Linked DNA regions of Oreochromis niloticus. The main gene of each other region encodes a partner of the protein of the gene in region 4 in a complex. Links are inferred from orthologs where the notes say so. Each region holds a gene or a part of one and is shown on either strand. Other genes may lie near its edges. The genes, in order: armc7, cwc15, crnkl1 and snw1.

Region 1 (6,888 bases), on a different chromosome or scaffold from region 4:
AAGAAATAACATGTTATTAGTTAAGTCTATACTTGGTTTAGTATACAAGACAATGGTTAAGAGGGACAATAGCATTTCAAGTAGCAAAGATTGAGTTTTATGGATTTCTGGATGTATCCTCCAAAAGGATTGAAAGAATATGTGAAGAGTGCAGTAATGTCAGGCTTTTGATTTAAAGCTTAAGATGTAATGTACGTGCATTTCAGGTTGAGTGTTTAGAATACAAAGTTAGAGAGATGAGGCTAAAGTTGGTTTGGACGTGTGCAGAAGAAGGAGAGTGGATATATTGGACGAAGGAAGCCTGAGCTGCCAGGCAGGAGGGAAAAAAAAACCTGGGAGAAGATTTGTGGATGTAGTGAAGGATGAGATGCAGAGGATTGGTGTGACAAAGGACGATGTTCGGATAGGTTTAGATGGAGGCACATGACCCCCAGAGGGAGAAGAAGAGAAGAAGAAGAATTTCCTGATCTTACTGACCACTGAGAGGGCTTCAGACTCGAAGTCAAATTTAACCACACGCTTTCATTTTAATCCAAATTTACTTAAATAGCACAAAATCACAACAATAGTCACCTCAAGACGTAATATTGTAAGACCCTACAGTAATACAGAGAAAACCCTAACAATCAAACAGCTGCCTCTGACCAAACACTTGGCGACAGCAAGAAGAAAGACCTCCCATTTAAGAGAAAGAAACCTGAAGAAACCAGGCTCACAGAGGGCAGCCATCATGTCACTGCTGTTTTGGTATTTTAAGGTATCTTGTTGATGCCTTAAATACCTCATAAACTGGGAGTACACTTTTCATAATGAAAGGTTTACTCACAGTTAATGAGATAATAACTTTATTAATTCCAAAAAATCAGCATCATTTTTGTCAAGTGAATCCATTACCTCTTACGAGTGGACATCCAATATGTTTTTATTTTTTTTGGAACAACATATCGAATTTTGGCTCCCTTGGGTGAATCATCTGTGACGCTCTCACAGAGAGCACACTTATAAAAAAAATAAAGGTCTGTGCTTTGTCTTTAGTCTTTGGGCAGCGGGATGCCGACTGCCATCTGCTGCCCCTCCATCTGCTGCTGCGCCTGCGCCACCTGCTCCTCGCTGCAGGAGTCCTGCAGAAACACGGTAGCCAGGTTGCGTAGACGAGGGCTCTCGGAGAGGGAGAAGCGCAGCATGCACTGCAGGATGGCGGGATCGGTGATCTGAGAGCGTGACACAGGTGTCAGGAGGTTCATGAGGGTGGTGATGGCTGACAGGACCGTCTCTTCCCTCCGGCTCGACAAGCAGTTTGTGACTAAGCGGATGCCGTCGCTCTGCAGGATGACATCTCTGCACTCAGGGTCCATGCTGAGGTTACAGAGCCCCCCTGAGATCACGAGAGACAAAATCAGAGATAAAGGCTTGACAGTTGCTGCAGACAATGAACGAGATGTCAATGTGACACTCACCCATCCCAAATTCCACAAAGTTCTCATTCTCCTCAGTCAGCATGTCCAAGAAGAGGTCAGTCACCTGCAGCTCCCTCAGATACTCCACGTTCTTTGGATCATATGCAAAATTGGCCAAATTAGCCAGAACTTGTTCCTTCGCCTCTGAGGAGGAAAAACAAAGCTTTTAATCACATAAAATGAGAACTATGGAGTGCCAAAATTAAATAGACAAATATTTAATTAAAAGTCTAATTAATTCATTAAAATATTAGTTCATTTCAAATTATCTGTGGCAGGTCAACAGACCTTAAAATCTGATTGGTTACCCTGCACAGCAAGTTAAGAAGATTGATCCCAGATAATGCTGCAGTCCATGCCCGGATTGCCTGCGCACAGCTAATGTGCTACACGCGCTGAATTAATAATTCATTTTCTGAAGCTGAACGGCTGGACTCCTTAGCGTACTTGCAACTGAGAAACACCCACTGAAAGAATCGACTCCGGAAAGGTAAAGATACTGACCAGATCAGCATTAGCCCCGCCCCCTGACTTTGATAGGTGAGGTTGACATTCATTCATAAATTCATGATGTGTTTTAGCCCAGAACTATGAAATAATAACAACTGAAATATATTTTAAATAAAACTAATTATTTCAATTTAATAAATGTGTATTTAATAAATTCAAATTTTAAATAATTATTTGATGATGTACGTCTCCCAAGAGGAGCACCTAGGCTTTCTGTAGGTACCTCTTGTTAATGTTTTTGTTCTATTTACTTTATTTTATGATTCATATTATTGTCTTGTGGATCTTATGCTGGAGCAGAAAGACGAAAAGGCAAGATTGGAAAAAAGATAACAGAAGAAAGCAGAGTAGTGAGTTTAAAGGTGAATCCAAACACAGCTGCTCCCACCGTCGCTGTCGGTGTCCTGAAACTCGGTGACCAGAGTTTGTAAATACTCAAAGCGGTCAGAGCCTCCGGACGAGCCGCTCCTCCACATCATCTACCACCAGCTCCGCTCTCCGCTTTAGCTAAAAAATGAATAAATAAAATAAAACGAGATTTTTTTCGAGGAAATGATTTAAGATTATTCTTCTCAGTTCGTTCCCGGCTCGGTCTGACCATGAATTGCTCCGTGTAGCTGCGTGGATGAGACAAAGGTTCCGTTTAAACGATTTTTGTTTTAAAATCAGTTTCGATCTGCTAACATACGGTCAAGCCGCACTTACATAGAATCAAATCTGATTTACATTTTTCACACGCAGTTAAAGGTCGTCTATCATAGTTTTTTGTTAATGTGGCAATACTACCCCCTCATACAACATGACACAAAATAGAAAAACTGTCAAGCGGAAGCTAGTGTCACGTGGTACCGGAAGTTGCTAAAAACTGTGGGACACGAAGGGGGCGTGTACAGCACCTCAGCTAACTGTAGGGGAAGGTCAGTGTTTAAAGTGCAAAATTAAGCCACGAAAATGAAGCAGCACAAATTATCCGCCGGGAAACGGCTCGCCAAACCGATCCTGTTCGGGACGATCATCGTTGGACTCGCTGCTGCTTTCATTAACAGGTAACGTTAAAGCGTGTTTACAGCTCAGCCACCTGTACGTAACAGACATGATGTACGTGACATGTGCACATGCAAGTGTTTACTGCACACCTAATAAATATGCAGCTCCGAAAGAGCCGATCAGAAGTGAAGATTATAAAAGCAGCACGACTTTGCTGTTAAAAGGTGCTACAGGGGAAGTAGTACGACTGCGTATTAGGCCCAGCATTCTGCAGCCCTTTAGGAGTTAAAGAGAAAAAGGTCAGAATTTTAGAAATTCGGCAGACTTACTAGAAAAATTGATAATTTACAAAAAAAAAATAAATCTAATTTTTGATGAAAGAAATGGGCAAATTTACAGAGAGAAAGCATTCAAAGTTAGTAGGGAAAAAATGCCAAATTAACGAAAAAATAAATAGCTAGTTTATTGTTTTAAAATGGCAAACGTATCAGAAAAAAAATAGCAAATTTACGAGAAATAATGGCACAATAATGAAAAACAACGGACAAACTTATTAGAAAAATTGTCAAATTTATAAGGCAATAATATGCTAACTTTGTTAAAAAAAAACGGAGCACATTTCCGAGAAAATAAATTGCATATACTGTATATATGTATATATACAAAAGACATACTTGTGGCAAATTTCTAAGGAAACAATGAGCAAAGTTCAGAGGCATTAAATTACAAAATCAAAAAAAAAGCAAGCTTATTTGAAAGATATAGGACATTTCAAAGAAATTAGCAAAGGACAAATTTATGAGAAAAAACATGCAAACCTATGAGAAAAAAATCATTAAGTTCCCAAGAAAAAATGAGCAAAGTTCCAAGACGATAAATACCCAAAAAAAAAAGAAAAAAAGACACATTCCCAAGGAAAAAAAAAAGAAAGAATAAATTTCAGAGAATCTGGCGGAGAATTTGCGAGTGAGGAAACTCAGTATGTGGTGATGTCCATGAGCTCCCTGACTGACATAAAACTGTCTAGTTCCCAGCTATGAAGATTTGCTTCAAGGTTATTACAAGGTCTCGTTAAGTAACATTCAATTAAGAAATGCCGACAGTGCCACGAGTAAGGTGTAAGAGGACAGAGAGCTGCTCTGTTCCCTGTGCAGGAGCGTTATAAAATCAGTTTATGTGATACATTTCATTATGATTTTGTATATTTGGTGTATTTTGAATGTGGATTTATTTTGTGGTTGTTGTGTATTGCTGTTTGTTGTTTTTGTATTGCTGTTTGTGCATGATTTCTGGAGAGCCTGTCTGTAAACCAGGTTTAACGGCAGGAACAATAAAATGACTGAACTGTGAACAGCTGTCTGTGTTGGCCCTGCAGCAGACTGATAACCTGCTCTGTAACAGCTGAGATGGGCTCTAACCTCCTGCCTGGCTGTATCTAAAATGCCTTTAATAATATTTAAATCATGTTAAAGGTATTGAATTTGCAGATGTTGTTTTTAAGACCTCTAGAAAAGCCCTATCAATACAATTAACTTTTAGTCCCACTAACTCGTTCATGCCGTTAGTGCACAAGCGATTTTACAGCACAGTGGAGAAGCTCTTCAGATTGAACAGCTGTGTTTTGTGTGACCAAAAGTCCAAAGAGAAATCTTTACTGTTCAGTGCTTTGTTGTATGGACTGGACATTTTGACACAGCTGGTTGTTTCTTTTTAATTGACATCCCTAAAAGCTTTGAAGGAGCCCTGAAATAACCTCATTATTAAAACTTAGTGGAGAAAGAGCTTCAGTAACGACAGCAAGCAGACTTCTGCGATGACTGTGATTAGATTTCTTGTGGTTGAAAACGTGTTTAATCCTCACTGTTGTCTTTAGAATCACATCAGGTGAACCCAGGAAAGGTGATCTGATGTGTTTAAGTACTTTTTGTGCTTTTATTCACATCACTGGATGAATCCTGATGATTCCGCTGATTCTTTGGTCAAAATTCAACAAAAGAGAAAGAAAAGATGAGTATTTAGTTACACTGGACAACAGCTTCTTTTTTTATTGTTAGAAAAATGGAAACAGAGTAGGTTTCCAAAAACACTCTGAAGACTACTTGAAACTAAACTGAGAGAAACTGAATATACAAAACATTTTTTTTGGTAAAGCTATAGTTTTATATTTTTCCATGAAAGTAAAATCAAAATCTGTTTTCTCACACTGAACCACCCACGTCACTTTAGAAGAAAGGTTGTAATCTTACCATTTTTTTCTGGTTCTCTAATGAATTCTCATAATTCTCATTTGTTTTCATTCGATACTTCCTCTGTTGCGCAGACACAGGTTTTTCGAGGACGTCGTTGAACTCAGGGCTCAGGAGCGAGCGCGCAACGACACCAAGAGGTTGGAGGTCCTGGAGAGGCGGCAGAAGCAGATCGACGAGCTGACCGAGAAGAAGCAGCAAGGAGGGAGCGGCTGAAGGCGGCAGCAGCCTGAACCTCAGTGCCTCTGCAGCAGACTGTGATACAGAGCAGGTCTCCACAGGTGGACGCTGCACATGTCCACATGTGCAAAGATGGCTTTGCTGAATATTTTTACTGAGGCCTGCTTACAGTAATGGATTTATTGAAGTAACCCTCACAGATTTGTATAGACATCTGGGCTGGACACAACACTGTCCAAGATGCCCAGTAAAGGAGCTTGACCAGCATCTTCCTTTACTTACTTGTTTTTCCAGCAGGGGGCAGAGTTGACTGCAACCTAATGGACTGTATGAATGAAACTCTCTTCAATTATTAATTATTTGTGCTATACATTATTAAAGATCATTTATTTAAAATGCACACTGTGGAGGTTTTCATTTGTATTTCATTGGTGTGACTTTATTGTAGTCAGGATTAAAAGTCAAAGCACAGACGCTAATCCCGTTCAACAAACATCAGCTCTGCCTTCAGTTTTTGCTCAGTGAAGCAGGAAAATCAAACTCCTTGGTGTTGGGATGTATTCAGTCTGATGGCTGTAACACGACTAAAATCCCTTATACTTGTATTTTCAGTAATAACTGACGCTGAACTGTCAAAATAAAGGTTTTAAATTCACTGTCAGTGTGACATGAAATAATTATTCACTCAAATATAAGATCTGTAACTTATAACTAAACATTGTAGATAGAGAGAAAAGGCCATTTGGAGCTAGTCCAGCATTCTACTGTAAAGAAGTACAAAATTTTAAATTCTCAAAGGATTTAGAAATTGTGCTTACATGAGAAAATGTACTTGTTTGCTTTTCTCCACTCTAAAATAAAGAAAGCTACTCTTAGTTTTTCTGTTATTTACAAGGGATCAACACAGCAGGTAGCGCCGCATGTTTGATTTGACAGACTTTTTTTATGCCAGGCGCAACCCGCCAAGGGATTTGTCTCCTCCCAGGATCCAGCTGGGTATCTTTCGCTTGTGTACATCAGCAGTTATGATAGTTAACAATAGAAAATAACAGATGCAGTATAACCATAGACTGTAAATACAAAACATGGATGTAGCTTGTGGGTCTGCCTGTGCAGAAATCCCTTAATCTTGCCTTCTTCCTGTTAACCAGCAGGGGGCATCTCCTCTGAAGGAGGCCGGCTGCATAGTGGTGATGTGCATACCACTGATTTCCTTTCTGATCAGACACCAAGTCAAATTCAGGGTGGTATCGACGATACTGATCCGATACTTTGTACAAAAACGTAATGTGTTATTGTATTTCAAATTATAGCTTCATAATGATTACAGAACATCAGACTACTTGTTCTTATTCTTTAATTATGAAGAATTATCATATAGAAGTAAAAAAAACCTGAATTTGTGTGTTAATTGATGCTATTTGAACAGGTATCGTGTCATTTAACATGTTCTTGCCTGGACGTTTCAACAAAAACATTCAACATTCACACTTTCCCTCATTCACAGT
Region 2 (7,141 bases), on a different chromosome or scaffold from region 4:
TCATAAAGCAGTTTAATATGAAGACAATTTATTGAAAAAAAATTAATTTGACAAGAAATGCGACAGACAGGGTGTATTGTGCCTTTCACCCAATGACAGCTGGGATGTGCCTGATTTAGACTTCTGCAGGAAATCCAAGTTGTTCTTTCTACTGCAACCAGAAACCCGTCTTAACTCTACGCTCTAACCTTCCATGTCATTCAGTTGTTGCAGTCTGCTTCGACCTGATGTGTAGCTATATTTCTCAAGTGGTGCAGATCAGGTTGCGGTGTAGGGTTAAGAAGGCTTTCCGGTTACGTTACAATTTCCCACAGAAGTCTAAATCAGGCTCCAGCGCCCCTGTGCCCTTGAATAAGATAAGCAGAAAAAAGTCGATGGCAGATGGCTGCATAAAGAAATAAAGGCTTGACTGCAGATCTCTACACTGTTTAAAATGAAATGTTTGTGTGTGTGGAGTGGCTAAACAGAAGGAAGACATTTCCATCTGATGATCTGACTGGATCCTAATCTAACTGTGCATTTGTGGAGATGCTGGTTTATATAATCTCTGCCAGTTTATTGAAAAAAACCCAAAAGAAAATAAATGCTTGGTCACATTTAAAAACTGCACTTAACTTTTGACAAATTTCACTCAAAGATGTCACGTTGACACATTTATATACAGCATGACTGTACAGATGGATACGTGGTTAATAGCATGGATAGATGGATGACTGTACAAGTATTAATGAAGTTGTATACAGAGTTTATTTGAAAAACCATGTACCCTCTGCAACAGAGGGTAGAGGAAGGAGACCAAACACATTAGATAATAAAAACAAAAACAATACAAATAACACAGAGGAAGTCCTCTACTTTACATATTTCTCCATAAATTTTTTGTGAAATTCAGAGCGCAGTGTGTCATTGACAAAGCGTTTCTCCTTCCGTGCCTCATCCACTCCTTTGGCGCAATTCTTGAACACTACGTCATCATCCCACCTTGAATAATATTAGGAAATGAAATCAAGATTAGATTTAAGAGGTCTTTTTCTCAAATACAAAGCTCATCCTGTGGTTATACTGTGGGTGACTGTGTATAAGTGAGACATACCTTCTCTTGACTCTGAATGTATTCTGTGTCTGGTTCTGTTGCTGCTGTCCAGCCAAATTAATCAGTGGATTGCCGCTCAAGATATTTTCCATTCGAATTCTCTCCTCCTCTGCCTTTTGCTCTCGCTCCTAAGATGGAAAAAAGAAAATTTTACTTAATACAAAGAAATAATATTTCTTCTGACCAAATGTAACGTCTTATTTTAGTTAGTGCAAACAGAACAGCCTAAAACACAGTTACTTTGCGTTCTTGCTCTTCAGCACGCTCTTTTTTAATCTTCTCCAATTCAGCCAAAAGAGCTGCAGTGTCATCATCATCACTATCTTGATCAGAGTCCTCGTCCTCATCATCCTAATAAAATAAAAATCATTGTTAAGGGAGATTAATCAGTACTAACCACTACTCAAGTTAAGTGCCCAAAATGTCTTGCATTGTAGACACTCACATCAGTGAGAGGATCATCAGCATCAAGGTTAGCAGCTGGGATCTGATCCAGTCTTGGCCTCTTTGAAGATGACGAAGAAGATGATGATGATGTGGTGTGCTCTGGAAAAAATAAGACCAACATAATGCCATATGTGAGAAAATAAATATACACTAAAATATATTTTACATAAACAGGAAGTCTAATTTCTGCAGAAAGACCAACCTCTTGGTCCCCTCTCTCTGGTCTTTTCACGTGCTGCTACACGCTCCCTCTCCTCCAGCTCTCTACGAAAGTCACGGGCACGGACCTCCTCAGGGGCATCCTGGGTAGGTTGCCTGCAGAAGGGAAAACATTAGCAGATCAATAAATTGTAATTTTCGTCCAGAACGCTTTCTGGAACACTTTCACCAATCTCACAGTGAGCAGACAGATAATGCAGTACAAACTGATCCGAAAGCATCTTTCCTTCTAGCTAACCAGCCAGCAGATCAGGCAATGATAAAACTCCATTCACATTTGATCTTCTGACCTGTACTTGATCTTTGTGTGACCTGGAAGATCTCGACTGGAGTATTGCTTGGAGAGAGCACTCAAATCACCTTCTCCTTTACCCCTCCCTCCTCTTGCCGGCTCAAATGTTGGTCTTGCAGCTGTAGTCATCTTTGATGGCTCTGCAATGGGACAAAGAAGACATTAAACCTATCAAACAGGTGGAAAAGTTGCAAGCAGAAAAAGCAGAGCAGACACGGTGTCCATAATCAAATTGTAGTGCCCTACAACACAACACGCTTTTACTCCACTTATGTGCCTTATAGAAAGTCAGAAGGCTCATCTTTTTGGTTTTTAGACAAGCTGGTACAACATACCCTTTCCCAAATATCAATTACCTACTCATTAAACCTCAGTGGTGATCAAACCGCTTATAGTTCACGTGTATATCTATATTAGCAACGTAAATAACAGTTGAGAGGCATTTAGATGACAAGTTACGTAATTTTCCTAATAAATATCATTTGTTCACCTGCTAAAACTCCAGGTCAACCAATTAAACCTATAATTAACAATTTTCTGATTAAATTGAGACTGTGGCATTTTAAATACTTCTTTGTAAGATAAATATCAGCTGCTAAAAGGCAGTAAATGAAAAGAACAAATTAGCCTGCTAGCTGCTAAAGCTAAAACGCTGCTACGCTAACTTCCTATAACAACGCCGATGAGGTTGAAAACGACACTAATTCGAGCCTTCGGTAAGACGGATAATGTTTCAGAGAAGTGATATTACAGCCAAAAATAAAGGAAATTTAAAAAATTCATTAAGCAGTATTTAAAAATTAGGTTTAAAGAAACAACACTTACAAAGCCGCTACCACACGACGAAAGGAACACCGATACAACAATCAACGTCACTTCCGGAAAAAAAAGATGCGTTCAGAAACACTCAGAGAAAATAGCGTGCGAAAAATCAGAGATTTTAAACTTCTTACATCTCAACATAGCGTTGACACCACTAGGGTCTACGCGTATAACTTAACAAATATGCTACAGCCTCTCTAAATTTTATTTTGGAAACCACCACTTCCGAAAGACTGATAGACTAAATAGACTGCAGGGGCATCAGCGGAGGAGTGACCTGTCTTCTGAATAGTGCGTTGTGTTACAGTGAAGGAGTTAAATGAGGATGCTGTTAAGTGCAACGCTCAAACAGATGCGTAGAAGATGCATTCAAAGCAAAACCTCCCTGTAATGGTCACACAAACAACTCTAACACAGTACAGGGTGGGCCATTTATATGGATACACCGTAATAAAATGGGAATGGTTGGTGATATTAAAGTCCTGTTTGTGGCACATTAGTATATGTGAGGGGGCAAACTCCTCAAGATGGGTGGTGACCATGGTGGCCATTTAGAAGTCGGCCATCTTGGATACAACTTTTGTTTTTTCAATAGGAAGAGGGCCATGTGACACATCAAACATATCGGTAATGTCACAAGAAAAACAATGGTGTGCTTGGTTTCAACATAACTTTATTCTTTCATGAGTTATTTACAAGTTTCTCTTTGTGCACAGCCACTGACATGTCGAAGAGGTTAACACGTGAGGAGCGGATCGAAATTGTGTTGATATCTGGTGAACGTTGTAACCGGGTCATTGCAGCAGATTTCAATGCAAGACACCCTACGAGATCACCCATCTCCCATGCTACAGTTAGCAAACTGCTTGCTAAGTTTCGTGAAACTGGTTCAGTGTTGGATTTGCCAAACTGTGGACGCAAGAAAACTGTCACGAATGAAGAAACATCAGTGGCTGTCCTAGCTTCATTCAGCAAGAGCCCACAGCGTAGCACTCGCCGCATGTCACTGGAGAGTGGCATTAGTCGAACATCCCTTTGGCGGATATTAGCTACTCACAAATGGCACCCTTACAAACTCCAGCTACTGCAGCATCTCAACGAGGATGACCCAGATCGGTGCACAGAATTTGCAGAATGGGCAAAACAAAAATTGGAACAGGACCCTCAGTTCACGCAGAAGATTTTGTTCAGTGATGAGGCAAACTTTTATGTGAATGGTGAAGTTAACAAACCAAACCACCGCTATTGGTCTGACACTAACCCACATTGGATGGATCCCTCCAAGACTGTTGGACCAACAAAAGTGATGGTTTGGTGTGGTATATGGGGTACAACGATAGTGGGTCCATTCTTCATCAATGGAAACCTCAAGGCCACTGGATATTTGAAATTGCTACATGATGATGTGTTTCCCTCTTTATGCACTGAAGCTGGCACGTTCCCTGAGTTTTTCCAGAAAGATGGTGCACCACCACATTATGGGTGCCAGGTCTGAGCATTCCTAGATGAACAGTTTCCTGGAAAGTGGATTGGTCGTCGTGGGCCAGTTGAATGGCCCCCAAGGTCTCCTGATCTGACCCCCTTAAACTTTTATCTTTGGGGTCATCTGAAGGCAATTGTCTATGGTGTGAAGATATGAGATGTGCAGCACCTGAAACTATGGATACTGGATGCCTGTGCTGGCATTTCTCCTGCGGTGTTGCTATCAGTGTGTGAAGAGTGGGAGAAGAGGGTTGCATTGACAATCCAACACAATGGGCAGCACATTGAACACATTTTATAAGTGGTCAGAAACTTGTAAATAACTCATGAAAGAATAAAGTTATGTTGAAACCAAGCACACCATTGTTTTTCTTGTGACATTACCGATAAGTTTGATGTGTCACATGGCCCTCTTCCTATTGAAAAAACAAAAGTTGTATCCAAGATGGCCAACTTCTAAATGGTCACCATGGTCACCACCCATCTTGAGGAGTTTGCCCCCTCACATATACTAATGTGCCACAAACAGGACTTTAATATCACCAACCATTCCCATTTTATTACAGTCTATCCATATAAATGGCCCACCCTGTACATTCAGTAGTTTTGTAGTAGTGTTGCTACACTCACCAAAATTCCTACTGCTATTATTCTATTATTAGTAGTAATATAACTTAGTTGTGTTGAAAAAGACACACACTTTTAACGTTGGCCCCTTTATGTTTGTAACATGCATTTTAATGACACAAAAAAAAGTACACTCCTTCATTACTAATTGTACACATCATTCACCACTTCGATGGTTTCTCTTTTATCTCGATACTGTTCTGTGAGAGAACCAGGAAAAGAAGTGGTTCTACTGGATTCCACTTACCATTCAAATATTTTTTGTCTAAGCAGCAATACTTTTATTTGTATTTGTATTGTATCTTTATTTTGAACATGTTTAAATAGACAAACAAGCAAAGCAAAACTAAAGGAAAACAAAACAATAATAATTATAAATAACTTACATGTTCAAAAAGGAGTAGGAAGAAGCATAAAATTATTTAATCCCACCACCTTTCCACTATTTAGTAACTAATAGTCAACACTTTTTCTTCCTGTTCATGCCCTACCCATCATAAATTCTTCCTTACAATTTGTTACATGTATTTGCTTTTATTACCTGAGTAACACGTCAAAAGATATACAAATTTACAGATATATATACTTATACTTGTGCACCCACACATACACATCCCTATTGTGAAACTTTACAAACTGAAGTATAGAAACTGGGAGAAAACTGGAAAAATAAAAAAGAATGACACAGTTATAAAAAAAAAAAGTTAAACATTTTCATGGCATCTTTACAGGTTTTGAGTTAGCCTCAGTGAAAGAAAGTGAATACCCTTACGTTTAAAAACCTGAAAAGTAAATGGACCAGTTCTTATATACTGGTTTTCTACTCTACCTGAGCACTCAAAGGACTTTATACAAAATGTTTATTCACACATAAAGTGCTTCCTGTCTAACACTCACACTCCAATGAACACACTGGAAACAACTCAGGGTTCAGTATCTTGCCCAAGGATGCTTTCGGCATGCAAACTGGAACAGCCAGCAATTCAACCACCAACCTGCTGTATACCCTATGAGCCACAGCCATTACAAGAATTAAAAAACACATTAATCGCTTTTGCACACAGAGTCCCCTGTACACCCACAGACCAAAATGTGAATATTTCAGTTTATTAAAATGTAAAGTAAACATCAGATAATGAGGTTAAGCTTTTCTCCGTGCTCTTTTATTTTCACTGGAGAGAATGGGCATTTCGGTTCAAGGATTTTCAATGTAAATATTATTAAAAAGGTCTGATGAGACAGTAGATTAAATTCGAACAACTCTGAGATCTGGTCCCGCTTGATTCCTAGAAGCCTACCAACTGGAACAGTATGCTTGTGAAAGAAAGTCTTTGTTGTGGGTGAAACAATACTACAAGCTTTTTATATTTGAAAAAAAAAAAAAACTTTTGTGGTTAATGATATGCAGGTTTTCAGTTGTCTACTTTTTTTTCTGTGGCACAAAGGCTATTGTTCAGGGATGGGCAATTAATTTTCCCATGGGGCCACATGAGAAACTGGGACTGTTGTGGAGGGTCGCACCAATAAGTGTATAAAGAGATTACATTAATATTGAGCAGAATTGAGTTCAGTTTAATCCCCTGCTATAGCCATTAGTAGGAAAGAAAACAGGATCAAGCACTAACCTGCAGGGTTCATTTAAATACCTTTAAGCTGTCAGGCAGGTTATAAAAGCCTATTTTTAATTTGCTTCTCAGCAAAGACTGAAAATCTCACTAGAAAACATCTCTGGAATGTGACTTCTCACACTCACAGAAAAATCGAAACCACAAAACAGTGCTGTCCCTCTTATCACCCAGCCTATCCGCTTGCTCAATGAGCCTGTGTAGCATCATCCAGGTGCGGCACTTCAAAACTAACAGGGGAGAGGGGTGGGGGCGGGATCTGAAACTGCAGGGGGTGGGGCTCCGGTGAAGGTATTTCTGCTATCTCATTCGCGTGTCACAGAGACCCGGAGGAGGACCGACACTGATCTGCTCTGACACAAACAGGTGAGAACACAATACGGCACAAAAATGGACTTCACACCCCTGTTCACGGCCTGTGTGAGAAGGGGCTCATTACCAAATCTGAATTGCTTTCCTTTTCTATGAATAATGAATTTGACCTGCTTAATTGGGGCTGGCACATCTCCAGAAAGATTCATCACAAGAGATTAA
Region 3 (6,915 bases), about 21 Mb from region 4:
TCAGTGCAGCTATGTAGTGTAGTGGTTTACACATTCAACTGACAGGCAAAAGACCTACAGCCCCAGATCCCTTTAGGATGTCTCAGGAAGGGTATCTGGTGCAAAAAGTCTACCAAAAAAACATGTGGAGCTGCCCTCTGTAGCTTCCTACTACTGAGAGAAAGTTCTTCTGCCACCTGGTGGCCAAAAAGAAAAGAAATTCAGCTTTAACTTTACCAGGTGTGCTGTCGAATGATCGCTTTTGCTCAGGGAGGTTCCCAATATATATATATATATATATATATATATATATATATATATATATATATATATATATATATATATATATATATATATGTTCACATATTGCATCAGTGAGTCCACTGGTGTCTGATGTAAATTTCATCGTCAGACAGTGAGTGTGAGCCTCTGGGCAAACATCCAGGTGCCTTTACAATATACAAACTACGCAAGTGCCCTTCAGGCAGACTTCAAGGAAGTGTAACAAGAAGGAATACTCTGCTGTGTTTGCCCGTGTCCATGCCCACAACCTTGTATAAGCCCTGCTTAACCACAGCCATGAAAAATTAAACATGCTTCAGGGCTTCCTTTATTACGTCCTTCAGTAGAGGATAGTTTATGAAAAATGGAGATAATACCATCCCTCAGTTCAAAGTGATGCACCATCAGAACAGTCACAATTCTCATATGCACATTTTTCAAAACTAAATTCATTGTAATTACTGTTGAATTTTCCATCACAGCTTGCTAATATGTCAAAGTGCTCTAAAGGTATATCAGCTTTATCAACTTATAAAGTTGTTTCCTTGTTAGAAGCACTTTATGACAGGTTTAGAAAAATCCTTATCAAAGGCAAGAATTAGGGGATCAGGAAAGCTATTTCATTTCCCCTTGTGACTGGAAAAGGTAACGAGCTGCCTCCACTGTTCTCCTGGAGTTCCTTCTTTCTGGGTTTTGCATTTTCTCTGTTTTCTCTGGCAGTTCTACGTTTAACACCACTAAAAACATCCTTGGTCCTTGCATCTTCTGTGGCATAACTCTTATGCATTATTTAATAGCCTATTGTAATTTCAATCATGAAATAAACTGTTGTGCTCATAGAATCTTAGTTCTTATGAGTTCTTCGTCACATCTTACATCAAAATTGATGTGAATAAATGTTTATTTATAGTACATCCATCTACACTCTTTTATTCACTCTACTGTTTAGTAGCCTGGGGAGGAATCAGTAGAAATCACCTGGCTGCGCGCACATGAGGCCGGGGACAGTGAGCTTTTCTGTGGCAGATCAATGCCAAGCACTGAGGCCCGGGGTCGGTCAGACGCTCCAACGGCTCAAATATTTCATCCAGTGCCGGCTCTGCAAGCACAAAAAACATCTGTCTGAGTCTCTTGGAAATTAATGCTTAAGTGAATTATAGACTTTAACTTGCTAAATCTAAATCACCTAAACCACCAACGTGTGGGCTGAGCAGACAGACGTATTCAAGCTCAGGAATGGCGTTAAAGATGGACCTGCGAAACAAAGCGCATCAAGAAAAATGATAATTTTACACATACTGCATTCACCTTTCAGGACACCTGCATACTGTGCTTGCTTCTAATCAAAGTGCATTGTAGTATCTACCTTGCACTGATATATGAATCTTATCGAATGATACAAGAATTTTTAAAAAAGGGGTCTTTGTTTGTTCATACCTCATTATCTCTTTCACACTTGCTGTGGTGAAATCCGTCCGTGCCACAAAAAGGTGGAGGAAAAGTGTGTTGAGAGGCTGCAGAAAGACAACAGTTTAATCCACTGCAGGTGTGAGCTCACTTCATTTCATTTCATCTAAGCAGAGTATGGGCACTTGGCCACATTCATTCCAGGTGATGTTAATTGCCTCTACTTAACGAAAACCTTATGTTAAAATCAGTAAATGAAAGGTACAGACTGTGCATTGTCCAGCACTGAAGTGTTCCTGCAGGAAAGCTTCCCACTGCGTCTGATCCACCAGATCTCCAATAGGGTGATCAAAGAAGGAAGCGTGGCCTAGGATGTCGCCCTTTTCATTGGTCAGAGTCACAGCCAGGTTAGCTTTCTCTCTGAATGAACATGACAAGAAAGCTCAGTGATGGTCTCTGTAAGTGTTTGAAATTAACTGAGAGCACAGACGTCTACATCAATCACCACATAATTGTGATGAGAGTTGCATCCACCACACGTTTTCAGAGGCAACTTGGTCCTCTTAGATCCTCCAAAGGAAAACTGAAAGAAGCAGTTTGAAGCAGTTGCTATGACCGTCAGGTGGAAGTGGGAGAGCTGAGAGAAGAGCACCAGTTAAGGTGGTTAAAGCATGTGAATCCCTCCTAGTTGAGGTGTTTTGGGGATGTATAAGCCCCCATAACAGAGACCACACTGCCCTTAGAACTAGAGGTGGGGAAAAAATCAGCATACTATCTTATTGCTAAATTTTCTGTGGCAATATTGTTTTGATAGAGGGAACCAAATATTGATATTTTATTAAATAAATTAAAATATTCTTTGAATACTATGAACAACAGGCGTAAGCCCACACACCACCATTCTCTCATAATGTTACATTTCAACTGCGTAATAAAAATAGAAACAAAATCTAACACAAAGTTACCTCCTAATTCACAGCAAGCTAATTCCTCATCACAAAGCATATGATCTACAAAACATAACAAACAAACAAACCATCTACAAAACACACACACACACACACCCTCCAAAGGAAAAAAACAAAACAAAACTAGATGGCTGTCTTATGATTGAATTTTTTTCACAAATGATTGCCTGGAGCTCTTACAATCACTTTTGATCACCAGGCGATTGCACAGGTCGCCTGATGGGAGGCAACCTTCCTGCAAACAGTTGTAGTCTGACTTTGACTGACTGCAATCATTCTCAGAGAGATTTTCGAGAGCTAACTCCCATCCCCTCCAACACTATAATTCTCCTACAGTTCTCAGCATGAAAACTGATGTGAGCAAATAAACAAGAATAGATACTGTGAAAACAATATAACCATTACACTTAAGACAAGAATAAACCACCATACAGTCGGTGGAGAACAAAAGTAATATTATAGCATAGCTATATATTAAAGAGATGATAGAATTCTTGCGTTTTCATGGAAGTTTATAATTATTTTTGACGTTTTAGAGACTACATAATTCAAACAAATTATCTAACAGTGATTAAAACAACTTATCCAGCTTGTAGGTGTGTTTGTGTTCAGAGAGCATCTAGTTTACGGTCTAAACTCTGCCGCTGAGATGTTTAAGAAGAAAAACTTTTCTCACAGCAGATGAATAACATTGACTCTTCCAAACACCGCCTGCGCAGAGGGACTAATGAGGCCGTCGATCTCTTCAGCGTCCGCGGACTCGCTTCTCCTCACGGTCACCGTTACCTCCCGGGCGCTGTCTGAGGTTACAGTCCGCATCGTCACCCGTATTATATGGACAAATAGTACTAATAAAACTACAGCAGACGAAAGACTGCCTTTTTGTAATAAACTGTAATATCAGGCTGGTGGATAGAAGAAGGTGAAATTTAATATAAATTTATTTAACTGAATTCAGCTCACTGTTTTCACCTATGAAGAGCTCAAACCCAGTTGCCATAGTAACGTGACGCCAGAACTCCCGCGGTTTAACCGGAAGTCATGAAGCAACTGTTTAAAGCACTAAAATCAGTCTAGAAACGAGTTTTTAGTCTTCATCAAAACTTCCTCAGACTGGACAAATGGACTCAACTGAAGTCTGTTATAGTGAATATATTCTCTATATCGGACAACGTATATATAAATTATTCAAATGGCATTGGCGAACAAACGGTAGATGGCAGCAACACGTCTGCGTTTTGAAGAAAAAGAAAAAGAAGAAGAAGACGCGGGGCATTGTGGTTACTGTCACGGTGGCTGGCGCTCGGTGAGACGGAAACGTTTCGCTGCCTGTTTGCGCCGTTTGGTAGTTGTCGTGACAGTTTAAGTGAGGTTTTTAACGTTGTTTGTTGGTTAAACCGGCCATCAAAATGGCGTCTACGGCAGCAGGCAAACAGCGGATACCGAAGGTGGCGAAGGTAAGTGAACAGAGCAGTATCAGCGCTCCAGGCTAATGCTAACATAGAACTCGGGCTAACGGAGCAAAATTAAAATCTAATCTCATCTTTTCACTGCCAAAGTTACTCACAAAAACGTGCTACACTGTAGTACATTTAGGGCTATTTTACCTGATGAACAGGTAGCTCTGTGGTCTGAGTTTCACACAAGTTACATTAGCTGTAAACTTTCACCACGCTCTGCTTTGTTTTGGCTTCCATGTGTTTTACGTGTCCTTAATTTAGTCTTGTTTATATTAGGATTTAAAATCTGGTACATTTGAGTTTCTTTGTGTCTTTAAAGTTAGAAGTGTGTTTAAAAATGACTATTATAGTAATAGTATGTGAAGGAGGAGTGGACTGTGATTGTGTTTACAGGCGACAATGTGATCTGTATTGAGAGTAGGGAGCTTCTGGAGGTATATGGAAGCAAGACAGAATACATGTGTGTAAATGAGAGGGAGGCGGGTGTACCAGTGAAGCTGAAAGGAGTAGAGGAATTGATGGTGGATGAGTTTAAGTATCCGAAGTGAACCATCCAAAGCAACGGACAGTGTGCGAGAGTGGTAAAGAAGAGAGTGCAAGCAGGTGGAGACGAATGTCAGGGGTGATTTCTGACATGATAGAGGCAACTGAGAAAGCTTACAAGATGGTAGTGAGACCTGCAGTGATGCATGGTTTGGAGACTGAAACTTACAGGAGGCCGAGCTGAAGGTCAGGGACAGCTCTCACCAGTTGCTTTGGAGACAAAGTTAGAGGCAGAGATGGTTCCAACATGTGCAGAGGAGGGCTAATGGATATACTGGTCAAAGGATGTTGAAGGTGGACCTGGCAAGCAGGAGGAAAAGAGAAAGACCTCAAAAGATTGATGGATGCAGTGAAGAAGGACATACAGAGGGTTGGTATGACAGAGGATGATGCTGGCATAGGGTGAAGTGGGGATAAATTTTGGTGACTCCTAAAGGGGGGAATCAAAAGAAGAATAAGATGATGATCAGTCACCTCAAGGTGCTTTATATTGTAAGGTAACATAAGCGATTAAAAACTCCAACAATCAGGAGAACTTGGTGTCTCTGGGGAGGAAGAACTCTATTTTAACAGGAAGCAGGTTCAGGGAGAGGCTGTCTGCTGTGACCAGTTGAGGGGAAGAGAGGAAAGACTAATTTTGTGCTCACGCTAATTGTATTTTGTGCTGTGTTTTAGGTGAAGAATAAAGCTCCGGCAGAGGTTCAGATTACTGCAGAGCAGCTGCTAAGGGAAGCCAAAGAGAGAGAGCTCGAACTCCTGCCACCACCACCGAAACAGAAGATCACCGATCAGGAGGAGCTCAATGACTACAAACTGAGGAAGAGGAAGGTAAGCACTTCCATCATATTTTCTCTCCTGGTAGTGTTCACATTGCTCTTACTCATACTGCCATTTTTGCAAGAATTTTTTCCCCCACTTTATTTATGTTTAAAAAGCCAGCATAAAATATATTTGAGGTGTGATGCTCTCTGGCTTTACTTCTGCTCTAATAGTTATGTTTAGTTAAACAAATGTGTTTGTAGTTTTAATCTAACAGGAAAATTTGAGATGTTTCCAGCACACAAAAATATGTTTTTATAGTTTTTGGACATGATGAATGTCTTTTTCTTTCAGAGCTTTGAGGACAACATCAGGAAGAACCGGACTGTCATCAGTAACTGGATTAAATACGCACAATGGGAGGAAAGTCTGAAGGAGATCCAGAGGTACTGAAGCAAAAACAGCTGAAAGTCAGAATATTAAATGGCTACAACTTCGCACGGGGTCAATCACAAACAACTTAGTCTTGGTTGTACTGAAATAAGTAGAATCGGTCTTCACATCTTTTAACATTTTAGTAAATGTTTTAGAATTTTTTCTCATGCCCATGTGTCTGCACTGTCCACTTTTACCTCACCAACGGTTACCCTCGTTTCAGAGCTCGTTCCATTTACGAGCGGGCGCTAGATGTCGATCATCGCAACATCACTCTGTGGCTAAAGTACGCCGAGATGGAGATGAAAAGCCGCCAGGTGAACCACGCCCGCAACATCTGGGACAGAGCCATCACCATCCTCCCACGAGTCAACCAGTTCTGGTAGGACTTAAAAATCATTTAATCGCCATATTTATTTCTTGATTGTTTTGTCTGTAAAATATCAGCAGGCTTTGGCAAGTGGCACAAGTCACAATTTTCAGTCCTTTTCTGTAGTTAAAAATTGAATAAATGTATTTGTTGGCTGATACTTTATTGACACTTATCTAACAATAGAGTAGCTGAAATGTAACCTGATGTAAATGATGTGTTTTAAACTTTGAAAAGTGCATCGTGTGTGAGTGTGAGTCTGCTTGTGATTGTACAGTTCTTATGGAGAGTCTTTGCTGTGCATTTGTTGTCTGTTTTTCTTAAATCTTCTGTGTTTCTTCATTAAGTGTGTAATATTTTGAATGCTGTTCCTTTGCACAGGTACAAGTACACCTACATGGAGGAGATGCTGGGAAACATCGCCGGCTGCAGGCAGGTCTTTGAGCGATGGATGGAATGGGAGCCTGAAGAGCAGGCCTGGCACTCTTACATCAACTTTGAGCTGCGCTACAAGGAGGTGGAGAAAGCCCGCACCATTTATGAGCGATATATCCTTTTGTTGCTTTTACTAACATGCAGGGAACTATGTGTTTCCCCACAGTTAAATTCAAACAATATAATAAAACTTTAAAATAAAGAAACAAAAAGCACGATCAGGGTGATGGTCTGAGTCGTCCCACAGAGCTTGAGTTCATTATTGTCAGGGCTGTTT
Region 4 (7,285 bases):
ACAGATGACTGATGTGTACAAGAGCATAAAACATAATTACTGGCAAATTCTCTCTCAAGATGCTGTTCATGTGGCACAACTGCAGATACCGCTGTTTGACCGCTGTTTCAGCAGTCACACATTTTCAGACTCAAACATGAATCTAACATGCTAACACAACTCCATTAATAGCCGTACTCTGACAGACATTTCAGTTTGGGTCATAAATGATCAAAGGTTGCTCAGTCTGTGTGCACTGGGGTGCAAAAACAGAGCTCACTTCAGTTATGCTCCATTTGATCAACATCCCACCATCGTTGAGCAGCAGAATTATGTATGCTCAGCTCTAAAATTCGGGGTCCCTTTTCTAAAAAAAATTCCAAACTTTGTAATGAAGTGATATTTTTCATTTGTTGTTCTCATTTATATATGACCTTCATAAAACAACAGTGTAAGATGAACATTTCTAGATACTGCAGTTTCCACATGGCAGACATCCAGTATGAAAATACTAAGGAGTCTAATGTAAGTGTGGTTGGATCCCCCACGCACATGATTTCTATTTTAGTCAAGGAAAAGTGATGCGGACAAAGAGGTTATTTTTTTGGGGGGATGATCTGAGTTGATTCCTAGACTCCAGTACGTATGTTAGCTAGTGTAAATCATTAGCTTACTGTTAATAAGCTATACCAATATGCTGTTGTACCCACATAAAAAGAATTTAAGAGTAGCGTGAGTAGAACTGAAAGAAGTTTAAGAAGGCCTCAGGCCCACGTACTACAGAGCACTACAATAACTGGAAGTCAACTTTCCCACCCTCCTCCCTGACTGTGTGCAGTGTTGATAATCTTCTGACTAATACATACCTGATGTACTGTGCAGGAGCTTGTTTGTCTGCGGCTCTTACAGGCATGGCAGCAGCGATTTTTTGAGACACCTGCTTCTCCAGGGCTGCACGGGTCTTCTCTGTGAGCTACAAAGGACACAAAAGGATGATCATGTTTACATTCCAGATTAAAGAAATCCAATACAGGAATTGTTTGCAATTATTAGCAGTCACATGACACAAGAGAAACTGTACTCCTTAAACATTTAGTAATAAGAAAGCATCCTGACTGGAAACAACATAAACTGATGAAGGTTGAGCAATGTGCAAAATCGGGAGATTAACAATCACCAAGAACATCGCAGGCTTTGATGTACTCAAAGCCTGAACTGTCTTTATATTTTCTTTACTTGTTTATTCATTCATTTAGGCCTTTATGGTTTAGTTTGCAGGAAGGATTAAATGGACTTGAATCAGTAATTTTGTTAGACAACCTTGTATTTCATAATGACAACTAAAACAAATCTTAAAGATAAGCAGAGTCATCCTGGTGTCCAACACTTCTTACCAATTAAGTTTAAAAAGTCTAAATACAAAGTTGTCAAAACTAATTATGACAAATTGTTTCACTCGCTCAGCAACTTTACTGGGACAAAAATATACGTTGTGCATTTTTCCTTTGACATTAGCAGATTTTTAATTGATACCTCTAAAAAGCCCTTTGTGGCAGTTGTTGGTTTTGAGAACGCCTTTATATAAATATTTTACTTCTTTGGTAAATGGTTCTAAAAATGACTAGTGAGTACTCAAATCTAAACCTGCTCTTACCTCTTGTATAGCCTCCTCATCTGGCTTCTGTAGTCCTGGAGCATCTTCATTGAGAACTTCCTTTGGAAGCAGGTCTGTGTATTTACTGAAGATCACCTATAAGAATGAAAAATGAAACCAATAAAGGAATGCCACTTTTTAAAATCAAAACAGAGCCAGACATGCAAATAAACTAAAGCCTAAATGTCATTTTCTGGCAGTGTGAAAGTGATGCACATGAGAGAGGTTTTATTCAGGCTTTAAGAAGAGAATTGCTGATTTGTATATTATGATTTAAAGACAAATCCTTGGAGTGTGTTGAGAGGATCCCTGCTAACTGTCGAAGGGATAAAATGCCCATATACCTTATCCTTTCCCTGTCCTTGTCTGGCAATGGCATCATATTTGATCTTTCCTTCTGCATCCACTTGTACTGCCAGGGCATTTGATGTCTTCTTCTTTCTACCCATCTCCAGAGGAAACTGAGCCACATGGATCTCTGGGAAAGCACCTCCATCTCCGAAGTCCTGCAGAAACACATATTTTGCTGTGAAAACTCAGGGTTGATTTCATCTTCAAACCGTAGAGGTTAGACAAAAAGGGACCCAACCATAAGTGAGCAAAACAAGAAACTTATCCCATATGAGCAAGAGGTTTTACCTCGAGTGAGCGAGGTATCCAGCCCTTTCTGTGTCCATAAGGAGGGGGCTCTCTACGGGATGCAACCAGGGCGGTAGAGTAGGACTTCTGGGCCCGGAGCTTCTCCTCTGCCTCCAACTGATCTTGGGACAGCTGGGTCGGCGCCGGTAAAAAGCTGAACACACAGGAATCCACATGTAAGTCTCAAAGTGATGAACAGTAACACAAGCGCTGTATGCCCTGGCTAGCATTAGCCGCTAGTGACAACAAATAGCTTCGAGGTTAATTATGACACGCGTGTAAGTGTCAGTTAAAATAGCCAATGATCAAGGTAAGTTAAAAGAAAATGTTAGAGAAGCCAACTTTAACACGCGGCTGACTAAACTACGTCTACACAACGAACTACATCATATCGTGACCACGGCTGCGTGCTGATAAGCTAGCTATTGCTAAATGTTGAACTCGCGACATTTTTACTTGCTAGCCGTAGCCGTTTGGATCGACTAAATCAGATACAGAACCGACAGCGTACATACCACAAATACCAGTGTGATACATTAATCGTAGTCTATACACCTGAAACCAATCAGTTGAATCGATATCTTATTTAATACAGTTTCACAATTTATAAATACAAAAGGCTTTATCGTGAAGCTCACCTCGTCAGAGACATCTTCCCGTTTCTTCCTAAGCGATAGACTGCGCATGCGCGAAGACAGTACAGACATGCGCACGATAGAATAGACGACAACCACTAAACAAGAAACGTTCTGGACAAAGTATATAGGAGGAAAGCAGAAGGGACATTTGTGTGGTCTATGAAACAGTGGCTGGAGAAGGAAGAGCAGAATTCTTTATACTTTTTAAGTTAGAAAAGTATCTTGCAAAATTGAAAACAATTACTCATTTAAGAATAGAGGAAGTGGTAACTGATAACCCGAAAATGATAACTAATTTCTGTTCATCCTATTATAAAAAAAACTTTATAGGCAGTGATGGTCTGGCTTTTCTAAACTCTTTACAAAACACTCCCAAACTGGAAGGAAGGTGAGGATTTATGTGACACTCTGTTATCTGTCAAAAAGTCTGTGAATGGTACTCCTGGCCATTGATCAATGGTTTTTGATCAGTGGTTGTTGATCAATGGTCATGACAATTTGCATGTTAATGATTAAGGAACTGACCTCACAGCCCATTGTTTATTCAGTGGGCTGGTTTCAGTTATTGTTCAAATGTACTGTTTATAAGGTTGGGGAAACCTGCAGTCAGCTGAGACTGAAGAAGTCACTTGGATGAGTGATGAAACGTTTCTCCCACTGAAAACACTATGTCCAGATGAACAGATTCAACCTTTTGAAATCTACAGGAAGGCTGAAAAATAACAAATCACCAGGGACAGATGGCTTGTCATTTGAGTTCTATAAGTTATTTCATCCTCAGTATGAATGTATATCAGTTGATGCATTACCCTGGAGTATGACTCAAGGATTAATTACTCTAATTCCGAAACAATAACTGATGAAGAGCAACTTGGCTTTTTACCTAACAGACATATTTCCAGTAATATCAGACTTATCTTGGATATGTTGAATTACTCATACATAATTCCAGATAATGGCTATTTTCTGTTTTTAGATTGTTTTAACGCCTTTGACACGGTTGAACATCAGTTTTTACATCATTCACTTAAAAGCCTTGCCTTTTTTCGTAGTTATATAACAATGCCAACTGCTCTATTAAGCTTAAACATGGATCATCAGCCAGATTTAATGTTCAGCGAGGCATCAGACAAGGCTGTCCACTTTCACCATATCTTTTTCTTCTTGTTGCTCAGCTGCTCTGCTCACATATAAAATCAAGCAACTTACAGGGCTCTTCTATCACTAACAGGACATTTCTCATTAGTCAACTTGCTGATGACACAACATTGTTTTTAAAAGATAGCACGGGGATTTCTTCTGCAATTATTCTGTTAGAATTATTCTCTAAAGCTTCTGGTCTTTTGCCTTAATCTTAAAAAGTGTGAATTATTTTAGGAGTGCTTAAGAAGTGTTTTATTTGGAATAAGAGTTATATTCTCTGTAAAAACAAATCAATTTTTTCCAGAACTGGTTTGATAACAACATTCTCACGGCAAGCCAACTATTTAGTCAAGAAGTGCATCTGTTTACTTGTGCTGAATTTTTACACAACTATAAAATTCCTCTTTCTACAAAAGAATTCTCTGTTGTTTTTGACGCTTTCCCCTCAGGACTGTTTTCACTTCTTTGAGGTGTAACAGGAAATAGAGCCCAGCTTCTGCCTCCTCAGGTCTCTGGAACTGAAATTATTCAGACTATTTTTCTACCCTTTTAACCACCAAAAGAAGAACCAGACAACTCACAATCTGTTTCTTCAAGATGTGCTGTTCACGGTTTTATTTCGGGTGGTTATTTCTTGATTTTATGTTCTTAAAAATTGATAGCACATTTTCTAGATCATGCAGTAACAAACTGAATAGAAAAAAGTCCTATTACAGTCACAGAAAATGCATTTTAAATGCAAATTTTAACAAGTTGACGTAACAAGACAGTTTGCTTCTCTTTATTTCTTGTCTTTTGAAATGATCTTTTCCATACGAAAGCTTGTTTCTACTAGTGAAAAATTAAAATAAAATCAGCCCGTAAGTCAAAATTTTGACTTAATCAGTAATAACTCAAAATTTCAGATAGTAAGTTGAAAGTTGCACTAGGTAATGAATTTTGAGATAGTAACCCCAAATTTCGACTCAGCTCTGCGTGGCGTTTTGTTTCAGCTTTGATATTTATTTATCTCTGAGACTGAAATAATCAACAAGCTATTAACTGCACATTTTGTCTTATTCCAAATATTAAAAATAAGAGTTAATTTATAGAAACTAGGTTCACTTAAAGCAAAGCACTTTCATTCCTTAGAGATACGGTCCATACTCTCATCACGTAGTTGCTGCAGATTGCACAACTAAGATCTGGAGACTGTGAAGGATAAATTCTGACCCTGCCAATGCTGAAACAGAAATAATGGGGCTGTGCTTACACAGTGCTTTTCTACTCTGCATGAGTCCTATATTCTTACTACAAGCCTCATTTACCCATCCTTATCTTGATCAACAAAGCATTGAAACACAGAGTAGGAGACTGGGAATCAAACCAAACACCTTCCGATTAGTAGATGACTCGCTGTGCCTCCTGAACCACAGACCAGGTAACGTGTTGAGAATCTTTTATTGCCCGATTTTGGTTAGTGTGTGATGTGTATCCCCAGCTTTCTGTTCCCTAGATGACAGAAGTAGCAACCAGTAGTTCTTCTGCTTTAGCGCATCTACTTCAAAGTTTGATATGTTCTACATTCAAAGATGTTCCTCTGCATAGCCTCATTGTACTGAGTAGTTATATGTTACCTTCCTATCAGCAGCCTGGCCATTCTCCTCTGACCAAGGCATTTTCACCCAGAGAACTGCTGTTCACTGGATATTTTCTCTTTTTAAGCCATTCTCTGAGAGTTTTCAGTTTTCAGTTTTATTTGTCATATGCAAGTTAGCACAGGGTCAACATCGCAATGAAATGTGTTTGACGAGCAGCGGTCTCTCAGCAGCATGATACAGTAGGAAAAAATATAATAAAATATAATATAATAAAATAAAATAACAAATAGAAAAATAGTAAAGAACAAAATATTAGAGAGACATGGTAAAAGAGAAAAGATGACTAAATATATATGTATCTATAAATATAAATATATGTACACTAGTGATTAAATAAGAAAATCTTGAAAAGAAATATGACGGGAGGGCAGATGGGATATTGCACAGGAATGAGCAGCAGAAAATTACAGTATTGCACTTTTTAAATATAAATATCAATAACAATAAAGTGAAGTGACCAGTGCAGATTAAACAGAGTACTTGTGAAGCTGCAGGGTAGCTTCTGAGTCCTGTGTTGTGTGTGTTTAAGTGTTGTGGTTGAGGTGTCGTATGGCTTGGTGGTAAAAACTGTTTTTAAGTCTTGTAGTCCGAGCAGACAGACTCCTGTAACGTCTGCCAGATGGTAACAAGGAGAACAGCTGATGTGCTGGGTGGCTGTGGTCCTTGATGATGCTGTGTGCTTTACGGAGGCATCGCTGGTGATAAATGTCCTGAATGGCAGGAAGCCTCGTGCCAGTGATGTGCTCTGCTGCCTTCACCACCCTCTGTAGTGATTTACGGCTGCTGGCAGAGCAGCTTCCGTACCAAACTGTGATGCAGCTCGTCAGCAAGCTCTCGATTGCACACCTGTAGAAATTTGAGATGATGCTGGCGTTCATGCCAAACCTCCTCAGCCTCCTCAGGAAGTAAAGCCGCTGGCGAGCTTTCCTGATAGCAGTGTCTGTGTGAAGGGTCCAGGAGAAGTCCTCAGTGATGTTGACTCCAAGGAACTTGAAGCTGCTGACCCTTTCGACCTTGACACTGTTGATGTGGATGGGCTGGTGTTCCCTGATGATGGATGGATGTGTTGGAAAATTCCAGCAGATCAGCAGTTTCTGAAAGACTCAGACCAACCTGTTAGGTACCAACAACCATGCCATGTTCAAAGTCACTTAAATCACCTTTGTTCCCCATTCTGATGCTCAGTGTGAAATTGATCTTGGCCATGTCTATTTATGGCTAAAGAAACTGAGTTCCTGTGTTTGTAATATATTATCTATTCTGAGAAACGTGTTTTTTCACTAAAGTGAAACTAAAGATTTTCAAACAACAAAAATGAAGCTGACACTAGTAAACACATTTTGGAAACTGCATGAAATTACCTGACGTGAAAACAAAAACCTGACACAAAAAATAGGAACTATTTACAGAAAATATGGCTCAAAAATTTCTGCACACCTGAATGGGTGACAGAGTAAAAGTTCCACAACAATTTAACTGTAACTCCTCCACGCTAGATTTACAAAGTCCTAATGCAGTAAGTGAGACAGTGTGCAGGAGTTATATTTACATTGTTGTGAAATTACAAAACTATGCTCACTGCCTTTATAAGC

Evidence for each region.
Region 1: snw1 (region 4) and armc7 share a complex: the UniProt entries of both Homo sapiens proteins name them as parts of the minor spliceosome. The link is inferred for Oreochromis niloticus from reciprocal best matches to the Homo sapiens genes SNW1 and ARMC7.
Region 2: snw1 (region 4) and cwc15 share a complex: the UniProt entries of both Homo sapiens proteins name them as parts of the minor spliceosome. The link is inferred for Oreochromis niloticus from reciprocal best matches to the Homo sapiens genes SNW1 and CWC15.
Region 3: snw1 (region 4) and crnkl1 share a complex: the UniProt entries of both Homo sapiens proteins name them as parts of the minor spliceosome. The link is inferred for Oreochromis niloticus from reciprocal best matches to the Homo sapiens genes SNW1 and CRNKL1.

The regions. Positions count from the first base shown.
Region 1 is NC_031973.2:5,032,014-5,038,901, forward strand, and holds armc7 (armadillo repeat-containing protein 7), read right to left. Parts: upstream 2,667-6,888; 5' UTR 2,447-2,666; coding exon 2,356-2,446; intron 1,602-2,355; coding exon 1,458-1,601; intron 1,376-1,457; coding exon 1,032-1,375; 3' UTR 508-1,031; downstream 1-507. UniProt on the Homo sapiens protein: As a component of the minor spliceosome, involved in the splicing of U12-type introns in pre-mRNAs.
Region 2 is NC_031975.2:10,962,843-10,969,983, reverse strand, and holds the start of cwc15 (protein CWC15 homolog), read right to left. Parts: upstream 3,017-7,141; 5' UTR 2,877-3,016; intron 2,192-2,876; 5' UTR 2,181-2,191; coding exon 2,050-2,180; intron 1,856-2,049; coding exon 1,743-1,855; intron 1,640-1,742; coding exon 1,539-1,639; intron 1,445-1,538; coding exon 1,334-1,444; intron 1,222-1,333; coding exon 1,094-1,221; intron 982-1,093; coding exon 852-981; 3' UTR 1-851. UniProt on the Homo sapiens protein: Involved in pre-mRNA splicing as component of the spliceosome. Component of the PRP19-CDC5L complex that forms an integral part of the spliceosome and is required for activating pre-mRNA splicing.
Region 3 is NC_031980.2:23,432,768-23,439,682, forward strand, and holds the start of crnkl1 (crooked neck-like protein 1), read left to right. Parts: upstream 1-3,901; 5' UTR 3,902-4,045; coding exon 4,046-4,093; intron 4,094-5,314; coding exon 5,315-5,467; intron 5,468-5,752; coding exon 5,753-5,844; intron 5,845-6,056; coding exon 6,057-6,215; intron 6,216-6,584; coding exon 6,585-6,751; intron 6,752-6,915. Other genes in the region: cfap61 (cilia- and flagella-associated protein 61), read right to left, coding at 1,240-1,360, 1,448-1,515, 1,699-1,775, 1,938-2,088, 3,313-3,455. UniProt on the Homo sapiens protein: Involved in pre-mRNA splicing process. As a component of the minor spliceosome, involved in the splicing of U12-type introns in pre-mRNAs.
Region 4 is NC_031980.2:2,829,104-2,836,388, reverse strand, and holds the start of snw1 (SNW domain-containing protein 1), read right to left. Parts: upstream 3,016-7,285; 5' UTR 2,925-3,015; coding exon 2,911-2,924; intron 2,427-2,910; coding exon 2,273-2,426; intron 2,140-2,272; coding exon 1,978-2,139; intron 1,730-1,977; coding exon 1,634-1,729; intron 953-1,633; coding exon 846-952; intron 1-845. UniProt on the Homo sapiens protein: Involved in pre-mRNA splicing as component of the spliceosome. As a component of the minor spliceosome, involved in the splicing of U12-type introns in pre-mRNAs.